Linked DNA regions of Saccharomyces cerevisiae S288C. The protein of the gene in region 1 interacts with the protein of each later gene in a pairwise test. Each region holds a gene or a part of one and is shown on either strand. Other genes may lie near its edges. The genes, in order: CIA1 and NAR1.

Region 1 (7,706 bases):
AGAAAGTGCGGTTGATGTTTGTGATTTAGCTAAAGTTTCCAAATATTTCCCGATGGAAATATATGAAATGATCATGATTGATGTGTCGAAAACGATCCTTGGGAGTTTGCCAGTACTTGAGGGATGGAACATATTGTGAACTAAAGAAAACACAGAAAATGTGTATGCACAAGTAGTGGAAACACAAACTAGTGTATCCATGGTTCCTGAACCGTGCTTTAAAGATGCCCATGCTGCCTTGTAAAAGTAAAAACCAACGCTGAACTGAATATAGCTTGCCAATATTACACCCAAAATATCTCTGTAGAACAGACCTCTAACAAAGGAGGTTTCTTTGTAAGGGAATATGCGGTCCTGAACAATTGTTGGCCACATCATAGGGACAATCATATACAATAGCATACATATTATAGCCAAAAGGGTGGATTTTATGCTGTTTTTTTTCCAGAATCTTATCTCGTCCTCTTTAGAGAGAAGCCTTAACTGGGTAGTATTATCTAAATTGGAAAATACAGTGAATTTATATCCGGTCCTCTCAAGGTGCCTCAATAAATCTCTAATGCCGAGTTCGTTACAACAGTATTTTATGGTGAGTGTGTGCATATCATCAGAAATTTCTATCGATTTTACACCTAGGTCTAACAAAAATTGAAACCTTTCGCTTACTGAAGAAAGTATGAGTGGGGATTCGTCCTCGAAAGCCTTAGTTACTTTCAAGATCACCGTTTTTTCGGTCATGTCTGCATTCCCGTTGCCATCCATAATAATATTTGAGTCAAATCCACAGTCTTCAATCATTTCTCTGGCGGTTTCTAGCGTTGTCTTGGACGGTTCATAAATAACATGGCACTCTTCCGTTACCAAGGAAACGACTACCGATTCAACACCCTCAATGCCTTCCACTTGTTTGGTGACTGTAGAAACACAAGACCCACAGGTCATACCTTGTACACTCAGTAGTCCTTCCTTCGTACTTATGGCTGTAATTTCAGAATCTCTTAGTATCTCACAGTCAAATCCACAATCCTCTATAATTTCCTTAATAGAATCGGCGGTAACCTCGTTATCGTATGTCACCTGGCACTCATTAGTCACTAAACTAATATCACATTTTGTTACACCCTTTAAAGCTCGTAACTGCGTATTGATTGTATTAGTACAGGCGCTGCATGTCATTCCATGTACAGCAAGTATCACTTCTCTCATTTCGTTTTAAGTATTAAACACCTCAACTCCTTGGCCGCAAAATTTACGAAATATCTCAAATACCTTTGAAAAGTAGCTTAGTACCAGGCAGAATTAAAGTCTAATCCATATGTCTCAAATTTGAGAAGAAATCCATTAGTTACCGTGACTTCCCTAAATATATACAAGTGTGTGCAAAAGGTCTCGGAATCACCGGTGCAAACCCTTCGGCAGCTAATTGCACTCATCGCCGCACTGCACCCGTTCTTTTCCACTGCCCGCGAAAATCGCTACTACAAATAACTGCACCCAGGACAATACTTACACAGATCGACCTGTTTTCGAGCCAGACGGTGGCAACACAACATTCTAACGGTGCTGGCCCTCTGCAAGAGACTGTACCAACATCTGCGTATTTTTCAAGATACTAACGTTTATTGATGAGATCTGCCGAGTGAGGAATCTTGCATATTCTGAAATAACAAAGATACGTACAAGTTAAACTGTATTATTATTTACATTGCGTTTGCAGCAGCCTAAAGCCGGGGACAGTCAGAAGCCCATTATTTTATGAATGTCGGCCAGGTTTTTTGCTGCTTTTTCTCTCGCTTTGCGCATGCCAGATTCAACGACACTATGCAAATAGGTCGGTTCGTTGATATATTTCTCAAATTCTGTTCTTGGGCCTTTCAATTCCTCAATTATCACTTCTGAAACATAATCTTTGAAATCCCTATAGTTATTGAAACGAGATACATCTTCTACGACATCTTCAATCGATTTTCTTTGAATGCCACTGACAATGTTAATTAAATTCGATACGCCTGGTCTTTCTACAGGGTCGTAGTAGAACCTATCAGAAATGGAATCTGTTAAAGCTTTTCTAATCTTTTTCTGAATTGCCTTAGGCTCATCATTCAAAAAAATTACAGAGTCGTGATTCGGATCACTCTTGGACATTTTCTTTTCAGGCGTGCTTAAGCTCAAAACTTTTTTCGTTTGTGCCAACATAGTTACAGGTTTAGGAAAAAAATTTTTCTTGTACATTTTGTTAAACTTTTCAGCAAGGTGTCTTGTTAGTTCCAAATGCTGCGATTGATCATCGCCAACAGGAACGTGTGTAGATTTATAAAGTAGAATATCCGCTGCCTGTAAAACAGGATACGAAAATAAGCCCAGTCTAACTTTTCCCACGTCAGAATCGTTAACCAGATAATCCCCATTAGTTGATTGTTTGATATTCGATTTTGATTTCCATTGCGTCATGCGGTTAAGTAATCCCATCGAGGCAAGAGTAGAAAGCAACCAGTGTAATTCACTGTGTTGAGGGATGGCGGATTGGTAGATCACCGAAGCCTTTTCTGGATCTACACCGACAGCCAGTATACTTGCTACTGCCTCATGGCGAAATTTTCTAAACATTTCTCCATCTGGCTTTGGAACAGTGATAGCGTGTAAATCAGCAACTCCAAATATCAATTCCTGGCCAGGTTGTTTTAATTCACATAAGTCTGTCCAAACACGTGTAGCACCTAGATAATTACCAAGGTGGAAACACCCAGTTGGCTGAATCATACTAAATACCGTAGCATTACTATGAAGCGCTTCGGAATTCAGCTTAAAATCGGCACGTTGCACTGTGCTTATCCACCTTTTACTGATTAACTTCAGAACCGCCTGCTTATTCGACATCTTCCTTGTAAAAGATAGTGTAAATATTTATCAAAACCTGATTCACTCCTTAGTAACGTAAAACCTTTGAGATGGTGCAGGTAGCCTGTAATAAATCATAATACCCTTTTCTACTTTCTCGAAGCCGATTTTATCACGTGAAAAACAAAAAATACCTTTGCACTTCTATCTTGTTTTGTGTTGCCTTTATAAGGAGAAAAAGATCTTCAAGAAAAGGTCATACTAATTGTAGAAACGTTTGAATTTAAGGAATCTGACTCTGATGTGCATAGCAGTGTTACTACTATTTATTTTCTTGAAAAATACCATCGTGATTGCCTTCAAATAGGTCATCTAAAACTTTCTGCTCTCAGCGGGCCGTGTTTTGAAAAATCTCACATCGAATATTGTATCGTCTTTGCCTCATTAATTGCGAATAAATACTAGATTTGTAGATATCACAAATCAAAATCGGGCTATACCACGACATTTTAATAGTTCAATTGGTTTACTTATTTGGTAATGGCGTCTATCAATCTGATTAAGTCTTTGAAACTTTACAAGGAAAAGATATGGTCTTTTGACTTTTCTCAAGGTATATTAGCAACAGGTTCAACTGATCGAAAAATTAAGCTAGTTAGCGTGAAATATGACGATTTTACGTTAATTGATGTGCTAGATGAGACTGCTCATAAAAAGGCGATTCGATCTGTGGCGTGGAGACCTCACACTTCGCTGTTAGCGGCTGGCTCTTTTGATTCCACTGTATCTATCTGGGCTAAGGAAGAATCTGCTGACAGAACTTTCGAGATGGACCTGCTAGCTATTATCGAAGGTCACGAAAATGAAGTAAAAGGTGTAGCGTGGTCGAATGATGGATATTACCTAGCAACCTGTTCCAGAGATAAAAGCGTGTGGATATGGGAAACAGATGAAAGTGGCGAGGAATATGAGTGTATTAGTGTTTTGCAAGAACATTCACAAGACGTTAAACATGTTATATGGCATCCATCTGAAGCATTACTGGCTTCAAGTTCTTATGATGACACCGTCAGGATATGGAAAGACTATGACGATGACTGGGAATGTGTTGCTGTCTTAAATGGCCATGAAGGAACTGTTTGGTCTTCTGATTTTGACAAGACTGAGGGCGTGTTTAGACTGTGCAGTGGAAGCGACGATTCCACTGTACGGGTATGGAAATACATGGGTGACGACGAGGATGATCAACAAGAATGGGTTTGTGAAGCTATTCTCCCGGATGTACACAAAAGACAGGTATACAATGTTGCATGGGGCTTTAATGGCCTCATTGCTAGTGTAGGAGCGGATGGAGTACTAGCGGTCTATGAAGAAGTAGACGGAGAATGGAAAGTTTTTGCTAAACGTGCATTATGTCATGGAGTTTATGAAATCAACGTTGTGAAGTGGTTGGAGTTAAATGGTAAAACTATACTTGCAACAGGCGGTGACGACGGGATCGTAAATTTCTGGTCTCTAGAAAAAGCAGCGTAGATGTAGAAGCAAGAGTACAATTCAGGAACTCATATTAACACAGTGATCGATCTGAATTCTAAAAATAAACTTAATGACGATTTTTCTACCTAGTTACATAAACCTTTGTATCACTATAACGCAATTCTGTCATGTGTGACGGAGTGACCTCGTTATACATATCCCTGCATTAAAAGCATGCGGTAAAAACTGAAATTTAAAAATGAAAAAAAAAAAAATTAGATATTCGGAAGACTTGTAATTAAGCATTATCTCGAATAAAGAAAGGTTACACTGAAAGTTTCATACTCGCGGTCACTCTTAATAATAGCTATATTTTCTGATTTTCTCTTAAGATTTTGAAAAGGGCATCTGAACGACTGCCCACTCAGCCATATTCAACAAATCGTCGAGCGCATACCTAGCTGAAAAAGATCCATAAAGTGCATTTTGATACAGTCTCTTTCGTCGAAAAAATAGTGGCTATACTTCTTTTCAAGAATTAGGATGAGCGAATCAGTGAAAGAAAACGTTACTCCGACACGTAACTTCCGTCGTACTCAAGGGCCCCAAAATAATACAAAACCTCACAACGACAGGAAGAATTTCAGAAGAAAGCAAAAGAAAAATAACCTTTCTGCTGAACCCAACCTCACCACTTCAAGCGCAGATGATACTGATGAAGAAAATGAATTATGTGTAATTTGTGCGCGCAAGTTAACATACGTATCTCTAACACCATGCCATCATAAGACATGCCATATCTGTGGTTTCAGACAACGAGCTTTGTACAACAAGAAAAGCTGTTTGATTTGCAGAACGGAGAATGAAGAAGTCATGTTTACCGATCGCATAGATGGTGATATTTCAGATAAATATAACTTTTGCGAAAAAAATGAAAAATATGGAATAAATTTCACTAGCGAAGAGGTTGCTACCGAAACACTAAATCTTTTAAAATTTTTTTGTCCCCTATCGAAGGATGAACAAGTTTGTGACTTTGGTAGTTTCAAGAAATATAATGAACACTTGAAATCTGAACATAACAGAATGATCTGTTTAATATGTGCAACCCATAAGCATGCATTCCCTTGTGAGCTTGAAATATTCACCCAAAATCAATTACGCAACCATCAAACTAAGGGTAATTCAGAAGGATTCAAAGGCCACCCTATGTGTGCCTTCTGTTCCGGAAAACGATTTTATTCAGACGACGAATTGTACATTCACATGAGAAATCAGCATGAAAAGTGCCATATTTGTGATAAGATGAACCCCGCTTCTCCTCAATACTTTAAGGATTATAATCAGCTTTTTGACCACTTTAAACATTCGCATTACGTTTGCACCGTCCAAACTTGCTTAGATAACAAGTTTGTCGTATTTAAAGACGAGTTGGAGTTACAAGCCCACATTTTGCAGGAGCATGGTAATATCCTGAAGGGAAAGCCAAAGTTTTTCCAGTCAGAACTTTCTACTTTTATCTCGGCTCCATCTAGAGTGATCAGGGAAAGAGATGATTACGACCTTCCATCTATATCTTCCCTACCGGGTTCATCATCCGGCTCTAGAACTGATGTGAGATCTGCTAGTTCTCCCGAGGAAAGTAGACTAAGATTGGCAGAAAGAGCAAAATACTATCTGGAAAATTCCAAAGAAGACTTCAATAAGTTTTCTTCTTATAACGAAGATTATTCTAAAGGTCGCTTAAGTGCTGAAAAATTATTGGAATCATATAAATTGTTATTCACAAAACCAAATGCGGATGTATATTTATTGATTCATAACTTAGCTGAAACCTTTCCCAAAAACTCCTCCAAATACAATAATCTGAACGCCATATATGAACAAAGAGAGCAAACCCTTGCACGACAAACTTCACTACCTTCTTTATCTAGTGATTCTTCCCTTTCAATGTCAATAGGCAGGGGCCATTGGGGTGGAACAAACGATGGGGGCAGCGCTGGTGCAGCATTAGGCGTTAGGAATATCAAAAATCTTCCAACCCTGAAAAGTCCTTCAGCGTCGTATGATCCCTTTGCAACCACCGTAAAAAAAAACACTCTGAGACCCGTGCAAAACATTAAAAGAACTACACCTCAATCAGTTAGTTATCGAACTTCCACTAATACAGTCGCCTTCTCTCCAACCTATTTGGAAAGTAAAAAGGGTTCCTCTTCTACTTCTCTAAATAATAGCAAAGATAAATTGAAAAGTCTCAACCTACCTCAACTACCTCCACCAAAGCCAAAGGTGCAAATTCCAGGTCTGAACAGACCCCAAATTGCTGATCCTAAGCAGTGGGGTAAAAAGTCAAGCACACAAGATACTAACGTGCACGATAATTTGAGGGAATTGAACACAACTAGTGGAGGAAATAAAAAGAAAGGCAAACAAAAGCAGCTGTTATTCCACATTGGTGTATAGTTGGAAATATATTTCTAACCTGTAACTGACAATAGCATTAGAGAAATGAAAGTCTTAAATAAAATTCCGATAAAGAAAAACTTATTTAATTAATTAATATAATTACAAGACTAAAAAGCATTATTTCCCCTTCGCGTTTTACTTCTCCTGCTCAGACGTCTGCGTTATTTCTGAAAAAGGCCTGTGGACAATGCTAAAAGAGTAGTCAAATTATTGATTAGTTCCTCTATTGCCGCAGGACCAGAATTTCCTGTGGTTGACAGTGTTGTCTGCACAAGGGGCATTCTGGCCTCTCTTTACACCAGCTCATAAGACAACTCCAACAAAATAGATGTCCACATGGCGCGCAGCTAGGATCACTCATGTTCATGAGACATAGGATGCATTTTCTCGAGGCTTCTGGAATAAATGGCAATTGGTTTTTATCTGACAAATTTATATGAGTCAGCTGCGATTCCTTCGGTATGCCTTCTATAGATTCATGTTCTGAACGCTCCTGTAGACCAACAGACGACCTAGTAATTGAATCATTGGTCCTTTTTCTCCCATAAATCCAGGACCCGAGCGTAGAGGTTAGGACAGGGTACCATTTCATAACATTTTGAGCTAATAGGATATAACCTAATACTTTGTACTTTTGTGAGCCCTCTTCTCTAAAATTGGCCTCATTTTTTGACAATATATGTTTAAAAACATATCTCATACCAAAAATCCTTTTGGAAATACTGTAAAAAGCTCCTTTGAAATAAAAGAGGGTCATGTGTACGTCTAAAATGAAATCTAAAAGGCCCTTACAAAACGCGGCAACACTTTCAGTATCTTCAATTTTACTTTCCTTGTTGTTCTTCATTATTTTCTTGTATAGTTTGGTGATGAAATATGGACATAAAGGATAAGCGAAAGCGAATACAATCATTTTGAGCCGTCCT
Region 2 (8,273 bases), on another chromosome or scaffold:
TGTATGTTCAGCATCACCGTTTTCTGATGAAGACAAACTTGCAAGATGGTCTTCATCGGACAAATCAAAATCGAAGTCCTCAACCTCTTCGGGCTCAGTAATTCCGGAAGTTCCATTGTCCAAAGTAGAATCGTACTCAGAGTCTGTATCAATGATATCGAATTCATACGTTTCCGCTCTTGACCTTCTGATCCTTCTCCTTGATTTCATAAAAAACATGAAGTATAACACCAAAAATGTGGCGCCAATCAAAAATATTGTTAAAAAATAATGCATGGCTTGCCTAGGAGAGGAAAGTTTTTTAGGAGTGTTTGGATCAGAATCAGGATCGGTACTCGCAGTAGTCGTTTGGGGAATGGCCGACGTTTCCACACCAATTGAGATAGAAGATGTAGAAGTAGCGCTGATGGAAATAGAAGTTGAACTGGCAGAATATTGTGATACGGTACTTTCTGTAGCAGCTGGTTCAACCTCCTCTTTATCGTTTCCAAAGACGAAAGTTTCTGTTTTAGATGAATCAATGGATTCCCCAAAGAGCTTCAGCCTCCAACTGTGGAAGTCAATCCTGTGTCCATTTTCTGTTGTCTTAACCTTGATTTTCCAATCACCTACGCCGTTCTCACCCCAATGTGCTACAGACATGAATGTCCAGTCTTTGAATCCCTCTGATGAAACATCTCTTGGTCTTACAACGCCAAGGTTTGAAATTATCCCCGCTGGTGATATTAAATCGACAGTCGTAGTTCCCCTAATTTCTGTATCAATATCTACAGTTACCGTGACGTGCTCAATTCTCTTGAAGTTAGCATCTTGAAGACTTTTTTCTGATATGGTTATGACGGATTCTAATGTCTCTTCCGTGGAGTTTGTGGACTGGGAAACATACAATGTTGGCAGGTAAAACCAGGTTTGTGCGTTAACATTCTCCCAGGTCTTGGACATTTCAATTAACTTATGGGCATCGATTTTACCAAAGCCATAGCGATGAGAGTATTTCTTCCCCATGGCGCTATCTCTCCAATCTCCGTCAGCGTTCTTTTCTAACCCTACCGCAGACAAGATTGATAAATACTGTACGTCTCTCCAAGTTAGGTTTGGGTTGGCTTCTAGTAACAAAGTGTAAACACCGGCAGCTAATGGAGCAGCCGCAGACGTTCCACCGTGGCTATTACTGCATCTGCCGTTGATATCACTCGAATGAATATATTCGCCTGAACCTGAAGAATACGTGACTGCCATGACGGCGGAACAACCTTCGGAATAAGGAGGATGTAGATCTTTGTGATCAATAGCCCCAATAGTAATAGAATATATGGAATTAGTATAGCCGTCGTAATTGCAATTATCACCACGAGTTCCACCATTTCCACTGGCAAAAACGTAAATCGCTCCTTTGGAATCTCTTCCCTCAGTAACACCTTTTACTAAAGCCTTTTTCACCAGGTCACTAGGGCCTTGTAAATGTCTTCCGTCATCAGCGGGACCCCATGAGCATGAATATATATCGTTTACGTCTAGACCATAAATCAAGGACGCAGCTTCATCTTCCGTAGTGATATCACCGGATAAGATTCTTATGCCTGAGATTTTAGCGTTGTAACCTACCCCGACACCGCAAAAATTGTTACCTTTTTTGGCAGCTATTTCACCTGCACATCTCGTACCATGGTAGTCATCAGATAATCTTGGTTTAGGTAAATTGGTATTGTCGTTGAAATCCCAAGAACCTTCAGCGCAAAAATTATCCTTCAAGTCTTCATTTTCGTAGTCAAGGCCATCATCAACAATGGCAGCCACGACCCCTGCGCCTGTAATATTATTGTACCACAGATCAAGAACATTTATATCACTGCCAGGAAAACTTGGATTGACCAAGTGCCACTGCCTCTCAAAAAGCGGATCATTTATGCTGAGTTTATCCTCAGCTTCTTTTACCGGTAACAAGCTTGAGTCCATTGGTGGAGCAGGCACCGGTAGTCTCTTAAATAGGTCGTTACGCGGGAATAAATCATGGACAGATAATATGTGGTCGTTGTTATCCCCCTGTAACTCTTCTAATGATGATCTTTTGCCCAATTTTAGCAACTCTTTTGAAAAAACATAATGGTTTGGTAGCCCTCGAACATCATGTTCATATTTCCAATTTGGATGCATTTCCTCCAAGCGGGATAATGTTTCATTGCTTTCTACAGCAAAATACTGTCGTGACGTATGGTCCTTCAATGGAATTTGTTGTGATGATACAAGAGCGGATGTTGAAAAGGCCCACCAAAAGCATAAAGTAATATATTTCCTCACTTTCATCTGATAATGGGTTAGTAGTTTATAATTATGTGACGAGGCCAAAAAACAACGGGATTAGTTTATCCTTAGTATGGTAGCCGAATGAATGAAATATGTGGAATAGATTTCTCTTTTACAAAACGGGATGTTTAAGCCAGGAAAAAGAACAGGCTTATGACAGAATTATGCATATGAAACGAGAGAAAGAACACGTCCAGCAAATATGGAGTACCTTGTTTGCCTTTAGAAAATGTTTCGGTTTCAATACTGTTCTCTTCAGCGATGCTGTTGAAGTATCAGCTCAGTTATTTAATATGCTAACCTTTCCTTTGTTTGTTTTCTTTTTCTATCTTTATTTTTTTTCCATTTACCGTTTTTTGCGTTTCAGAAAATGACCCTCATTGATTATATGAATAATAATATACACGTTATCATTTTTTATTTCTTTTATGTATGTATAGTAAAAATAAAACATGTCGAGATACGTGTATCTACATCAGAGCTGCTGAAACTATTTATTTGGCCAAAGCACCCATTGGGTCCCAGATGGGCAAGACAATCGGCTCTTCCTTACCTGAGGTGAATTTTGAAGCCAGCTCTTTTGGCAATTCATTGATATCGACCACAATTTGAAAGCAGTACTCCTCGAAGTACTTTTGAGTCATCACGTATAATCCGTCTTTACCGGAGTCTTTACCCCAGGAATTTTCAACGCGGTAGCGAAGTGGTAATTTAGACGTTTCATCGACGTGGCAGCCAGTGATCAACATAGCATGAGTCATCAAACTTTCATGGTATCTAATACGCGATGCCTTTTGCTGAGGTAAATTATAGCCGATGGCAGGATAGTTCCACAATTCAATATCCATGACACCAGTTTTCTTGTCCATGAACTTTGGAGTGTGAGATCCAAAAAAGACAGCTTTGTTATTTTGTAATCTCTTAACAACCAATTTAGATAGTGTTTCATTGTCAACATTTAAGTAAATCACGGCATCTCCGCCAAGGACGTTTCCTAAACGATCGATCTTAATTAATTTACCATATGGGTGTCTTGGATCATTGATCAATGAGACTGGCGTGGAAGGGTCCAATTTTGCGTATTTGGAGGCAAATTCTAACGGAGTCGATTTGATAGTGTGGATTTTCTTGTCTTTGTCAACGTATTCCCAAGTGAATTGCTCGTTTGGTTGCACTGGAGGTATGTCCATGAACAACGACATCAACCTGAAGATTTCTCTTTGCATTTGCTCTCTCAGAGTGACAATTATGGAATCATCGGCAGAACGCTCTTTCAAAGCTGTTCTTAGAGTCTCGGCAAATTCTCTCAGTTTAGTAGTCAACAGAGAATTCCATTTTCTGGACGCAGTAGTAGAATAAGGTAGATCCCCGTATAAATCTTTGGGGATAAGGCCATACTTCTTGACTAGGTTCAAAAACATGCTGTATTGGCCACCGTCTTCTGTTGGAGCTGCTAACAAGTATTGCACGAGACGTGAGTCGATGTCTTGATCAGCCGAGGAGACGATTTGGTCCAAGAAATAGTTGGCCTTTTCCAACTTATCGTAAAAGAACAAGTAAGCTTGGGACAGTTCGAATTCTTTTAAGTTCAATTCAGAAAGAACATTCAAGCGCAGTTGATTGGTAGCGGCAAACAACCAACATCTACCAGAGCTTTTTTGGTTGGTGACTGGAGTGGAATCAGTAGAGACAACAGTGTTGAAAACCCTGTTATCTTGCTTTTGCAGTCTAGTCTTGTTCAACAGTGCATCATCGGCATTATAATTCTTAAGGACAGTGGTTGCCAATTGATGGGTTAAGTCGGATTGAAACTCTTTGTTCCAAGAGTTGATCTTACTGATATCGATGGAAGAGGACATTCTTTTTAAAACAATTTGTGGTGCTCGTAAAAGGTGGCTTCTAAACGTCTTGAGATACAAGGACCGGGAAACAGAAGTAGGAAGCATGTAACAAAAGAGCAAGGGCTATTTATCGTTTATTTATGGGTGCCCGTCGGCGACTTGTCAGCCGGCGTTATCAATTGATTACCACATGCAACCCCATTGATTAAGAGAGCAGGTGACTTTCTGGTGGGAGGGGAAAAAAGGATGTGTCACTCACTACCCGGCGATTGCATGCTATTTGACACATACTAAAGCAAAATAACATATGTAGCATAATCAATAAAGCGACTATTTTCTAAATTTCAAAAAGCACTGAATATACGATGCCTCTTCACAGGATTAAGAGACAAAATTTGCCTGTTTGTAAAGCATATTGCCTGCCTTTCCGCTAGTTTTTTCTTTTCCACTTCCTATTTTCTTTTTTTACCAGTTTTCCCTGCTCATCGCATGAAGAAAAAAATGATAAAAGCGTTTTATGGTGATGACTAAGAAACTTGTCTTGTCAGCTGGAAAGATAAGAGAGGGAGCTTCCTTTTCCTGAGTGACAAGATAAGTGTACAAGAAAGCATGAGTGCTCTACTGTCCGAGTCTGACCTAAACGATTTTATCAGTCCCGCCCTTGCGTGCGTCAAACCTACCCAGGTGAGCGGGGGCAAGAAGGATAACGTTAACATGAACGGAGAATACGAGGTGAGCACGGAACCAGACCAACTGGAGAAGGTCTCTATTACCCTATCAGACTGCCTCGCGTGTTCTGGTTGTATAACGTCTAGTGAAGAAATCTTGTTGAGTAGCCAAAGTCACTCGGTTTTCCTGAAAAACTGGGGGAAGCTTTCGCAGCAGCAAGACAAATTCCTCGTTGTGAGTGTCTCGCCACAATGCAGACTATCTCTTGCGCAGTACTACGGCTTAACATTGGAGGCGGCCGATTTGTGTTTGATGAATTTTTTCCAAAAGCATTTCCAGTGCAAGTATATGGTTGGAACGGAGATGGGCAGAATCATATCGATTAGCAAAACCGTAGAGAAGATCATTGCGCATAAGAAACAAAAAGAAAATACCGGTGCGGACCGCAAGCCTCTATTATCTGCTGTGTGTCCGGGATTTCTTATATACACGGAAAAGACCAAACCGCAGTTGGTGCCTATGCTGCTCAATGTCAAGTCGCCTCAGCAAATTACGGGCTCGTTGATCAGAGCTACGTTCGAGAGTCTCGCTATCGCGCGTGAGTCCTTTTACCATCTGTCGCTGATGCCATGTTTTGACAAGAAACTAGAAGCGTCAAGGCCAGAATCGCTTGACGATGGGATTGACTGTGTCATTACGCCACGTGAAATAGTGACAATGTTACAAGAGTTGAATTTAGACTTCAAGTCGTTTCTTACTGAGGACACAAGTTTATATGGGCGGCTATCACCGCCGGGATGGGACCCGCGAGTCCACTGGGCGTCGAATCTGGGAGGCACTTGTGGTGGCTATGCCTACCAGTACGTAACGGCTGTCCAACGACTACACCCAGGAAGTCAGATGATAGTTCTGGAGGGTAGAAACAGCGACATTGTCGAGTACCGATTGCTGCACGATGATCGCATAATAGCCGCCGCCAGCGAGCTTTCCGGGTTTAGAAACATCCAAAATCTGGTGCGTAAACTGACCTCGGGCTCCGGGTCAGAGCGCAAGAGGAACATCACCGCTCTGCGGAAGAGACGAACAGGTCCAAAGGCGAACTCACGCGAGATGGCGGCCGCCACGGCCGCCACGGCCGATCCCTACCACTCGGACTACATCGAGGTAAACGCGTGTCCGGGTGCATGCATGAACGGTGGTGGCCTACTCAATGGCGAGCAAAACAGTCTCAAGCGGAAGCAGTTGGTTCAGACACTGAATAAGCGTCACGGAGAGGAGCTAGCAATGGTAGATCCTCTAACCCTGGGACCCAAGCTAGAAGAGGCGGCAGCCCGCCCGCTTTCGCTAGAGTACGTCTTCGCGCCCGTCAAGCAGGCCGTCGAAAAGGATCTCGTCTCTGTTGGGAGCACCTGGTAAGTAAGGTGTAGTTTTGCACCCGTGTACATAAGCGTGAAATCACCACAAACTGTGTGTATCAAGTACATAGTGACATTTAAATAATAGCAAGAACAACAATAATAGTAGCGCTACTGGAAGCACCACGTAATAGTGGAAAAGAACTGGAAAAACCGCTATAAGATGCATACTCCGGCGGTCTTACGCGGAGATACAAGCTTCCAACGGTGCTAAAAGCCCGGTTTCGGCTCGGCCGGAGGAGGAAGAGAGACGAAAAAAAAAAAAATGACTAAAAAAAAAATGGAATATTATTAATGTGGGATTTTTGGCTCAAGGTGTGGTGGCCCCTTTTCTAAGGGTGGCGAATTCTTCAATGTACGGAAAACTCGCCAAGGCTATCCCATATATAAGCAAACTGTGGGTTCATCTATATACCGACACATAACACCTAAAGTGGCTTCCTCCTGCCCCTCTCTCCCTTTTCTCCACTCACCCCTCCTTCTCCCCCTTCCCCCTCTCCAATTGGCTGTATAGACAGAAAGAGTAAATCCAATAGAATAGAAAACCACATAAGGCAAGATGAGTGAAGGCCCCGTCAAATTCGAAAAAAATACCGTCATATCTGTCTTTGGTGCGTCAGGTGATCTGGCAAAGAAGAAGACTTTTCCCGCCTTATTTGGGCTTTTCAGAGAAGGTTACCTTGATCCATCTACCAAGATCTTCGGTTATGCCCGGTCCAAATTGTCCATGGAGGAGGACCTGAAGTCCCGTGTCCTACCCCACTTGAAAAAACCTCACGGTGAAGCCGATGACTCTAAGGTCGAACAGTTCTTCAAGATGGTCAGCTACATTTCGGGAAATTACGACACAGATGAAGGCTTCGACGAATTAAGAACGCAGATCGAGAAATTCGAGAAAAGTGCCAACGTCGATGTCCCACACCGTCTCTTCTATCTGGCCTTGCCGCCAAGCGTTTTTTTGACGGTGGCCAAGCAGATCAAGAGTCGTGTGTACGCAGAGAATGGCATCACCCGTGTAATCGTAGAGAAACCTTTCGGCCACGACCTGGCCTCTGCCAGGGAGCTGCAAAAAAACCTGGGGCCCCTCTTTAAAGAAGAAGAGTTGTACAGAATTGACCATTACTTGGGTAAAGAGTTGGTCAAGAATCTTTTAGTCTTGAGGTTCGGTAACCAGTTTTTGAATGCCTCGTGGAATAGAGACAACATTCAAAGCGTTCAGATTTCGTTTAAAGAGAGGTTCGGCACCGAAGGCCGTGGCGGCTATTTCGACTCTATAGGCATAATCAGAGACGTGATGCAGAACCATCTGTTACAAATCATGACTCTCTTGACTATGGAAAGACCGGTGTCTTTTGACCCGGAATCTATTCGTGACGAAAAGGTTAAGGTTCTAAAGGCCGTGGCCCCCATCGACACGGACGACGTCCTCTTGGGCCAGTACGGTAAATCTGAGGACGGGTCTAAGCCCGCCTACGTGGATGATGACACTGTAGACAAGGACTCTAAATGTGTCACTTTTGCAGCAATGACTTTCAACATCGAAAACGAGCGTTGGGAGGGCGTCCCCATCATGATGCGTGCCGGTAAGGCTTTGAATGAGTCCAAGGTGGAGATCAGACTGCAGTACAAAGCGGTCGCATCGGGTGTCTTCAAAGACATTCCAAATAACGAACTGGTCATCAGAGTGCAGCCCGATGCCGCTGTGTACCTAAAGTTTAATGCTAAGACCCCTGGTCTGTCAAATGCTACCCAAGTCACAGATCTGAATCTAACTTACGCAAGCAGGTACCAAGACTTTTGGATTCCAGAGGCTTACGAGGTGTTGATAAGAGACGCCCTACTGGGTGACCATTCCAACTTTGTCAGAGATGACGAATTGGATATCAGTTGGGGCATATTCACCCCATTACTGAAGCACATAGAGCGTCCGGACGGTCCAACACCGGAAATTTACCCCTACGGATCAAGAGGTCCAAAGGGATTGAAGGAATATATGCAAAAACACAAGTATGTTATGCCCGAAAAGCACCCTTACGCTTGGCCC

Evidence for each region.
Region 2: the proteins of CIA1 (region 1) and NAR1 interact in binary tests that used the Saccharomyces cerevisiae proteins (3 or more experiments, as listed by UniProt).

Annotation. Positions count from the first base shown.
Region 1 is NC_001136.10:999,175-1,006,880, reverse strand, and holds CIA1 (iron-sulfur cluster assembly protein CIA1), read left to right. Parts: upstream 1-3,378; coding exon 3,379-4,371; downstream 4,372-7,706. Other genes in the region: Cu(2+)-transporting P-type ATPase CCC2, read right to left, coding at 1-1,206; tryptophan--tRNA ligase MSW1, read right to left, coding at 1,738-2,877; E3 ubiquitin-protein ligase HEL2, read left to right, coding at 4,858-6,777; PEX10 (ubiquitin-protein ligase peroxin 10), read right to left, coding at 7,004-7,706. UniProt on the Saccharomyces cerevisiae protein: Essential component of the cytosolic iron-sulfur (Fe/S) protein assembly machinery. Required for the maturation of extramitochondrial Fe/S proteins.
Region 2 is NC_001146.8:196,459-204,731, reverse strand, and holds NAR1 (iron-sulfur cluster assembly protein NAR1), read left to right. Parts: upstream 1-4,754; coding exon 4,755-6,230; downstream 6,231-8,273. Other genes in the region: kexin KEX2, read right to left, coding at 1-2,304; LAP3 (bleomycin hydrolase), read right to left, coding at 2,799-4,163; ZWF1 (glucose-6-phosphate dehydrogenase), read left to right, coding at 6,789-8,273. UniProt on the Saccharomyces cerevisiae protein: Essential component of a cytosolic Fe/S protein assembly machinery. Required for maturation of extramitochondrial Fe/S proteins. May play a role in the transfer of pre-assembled Fe/S clusters to target apoproteins.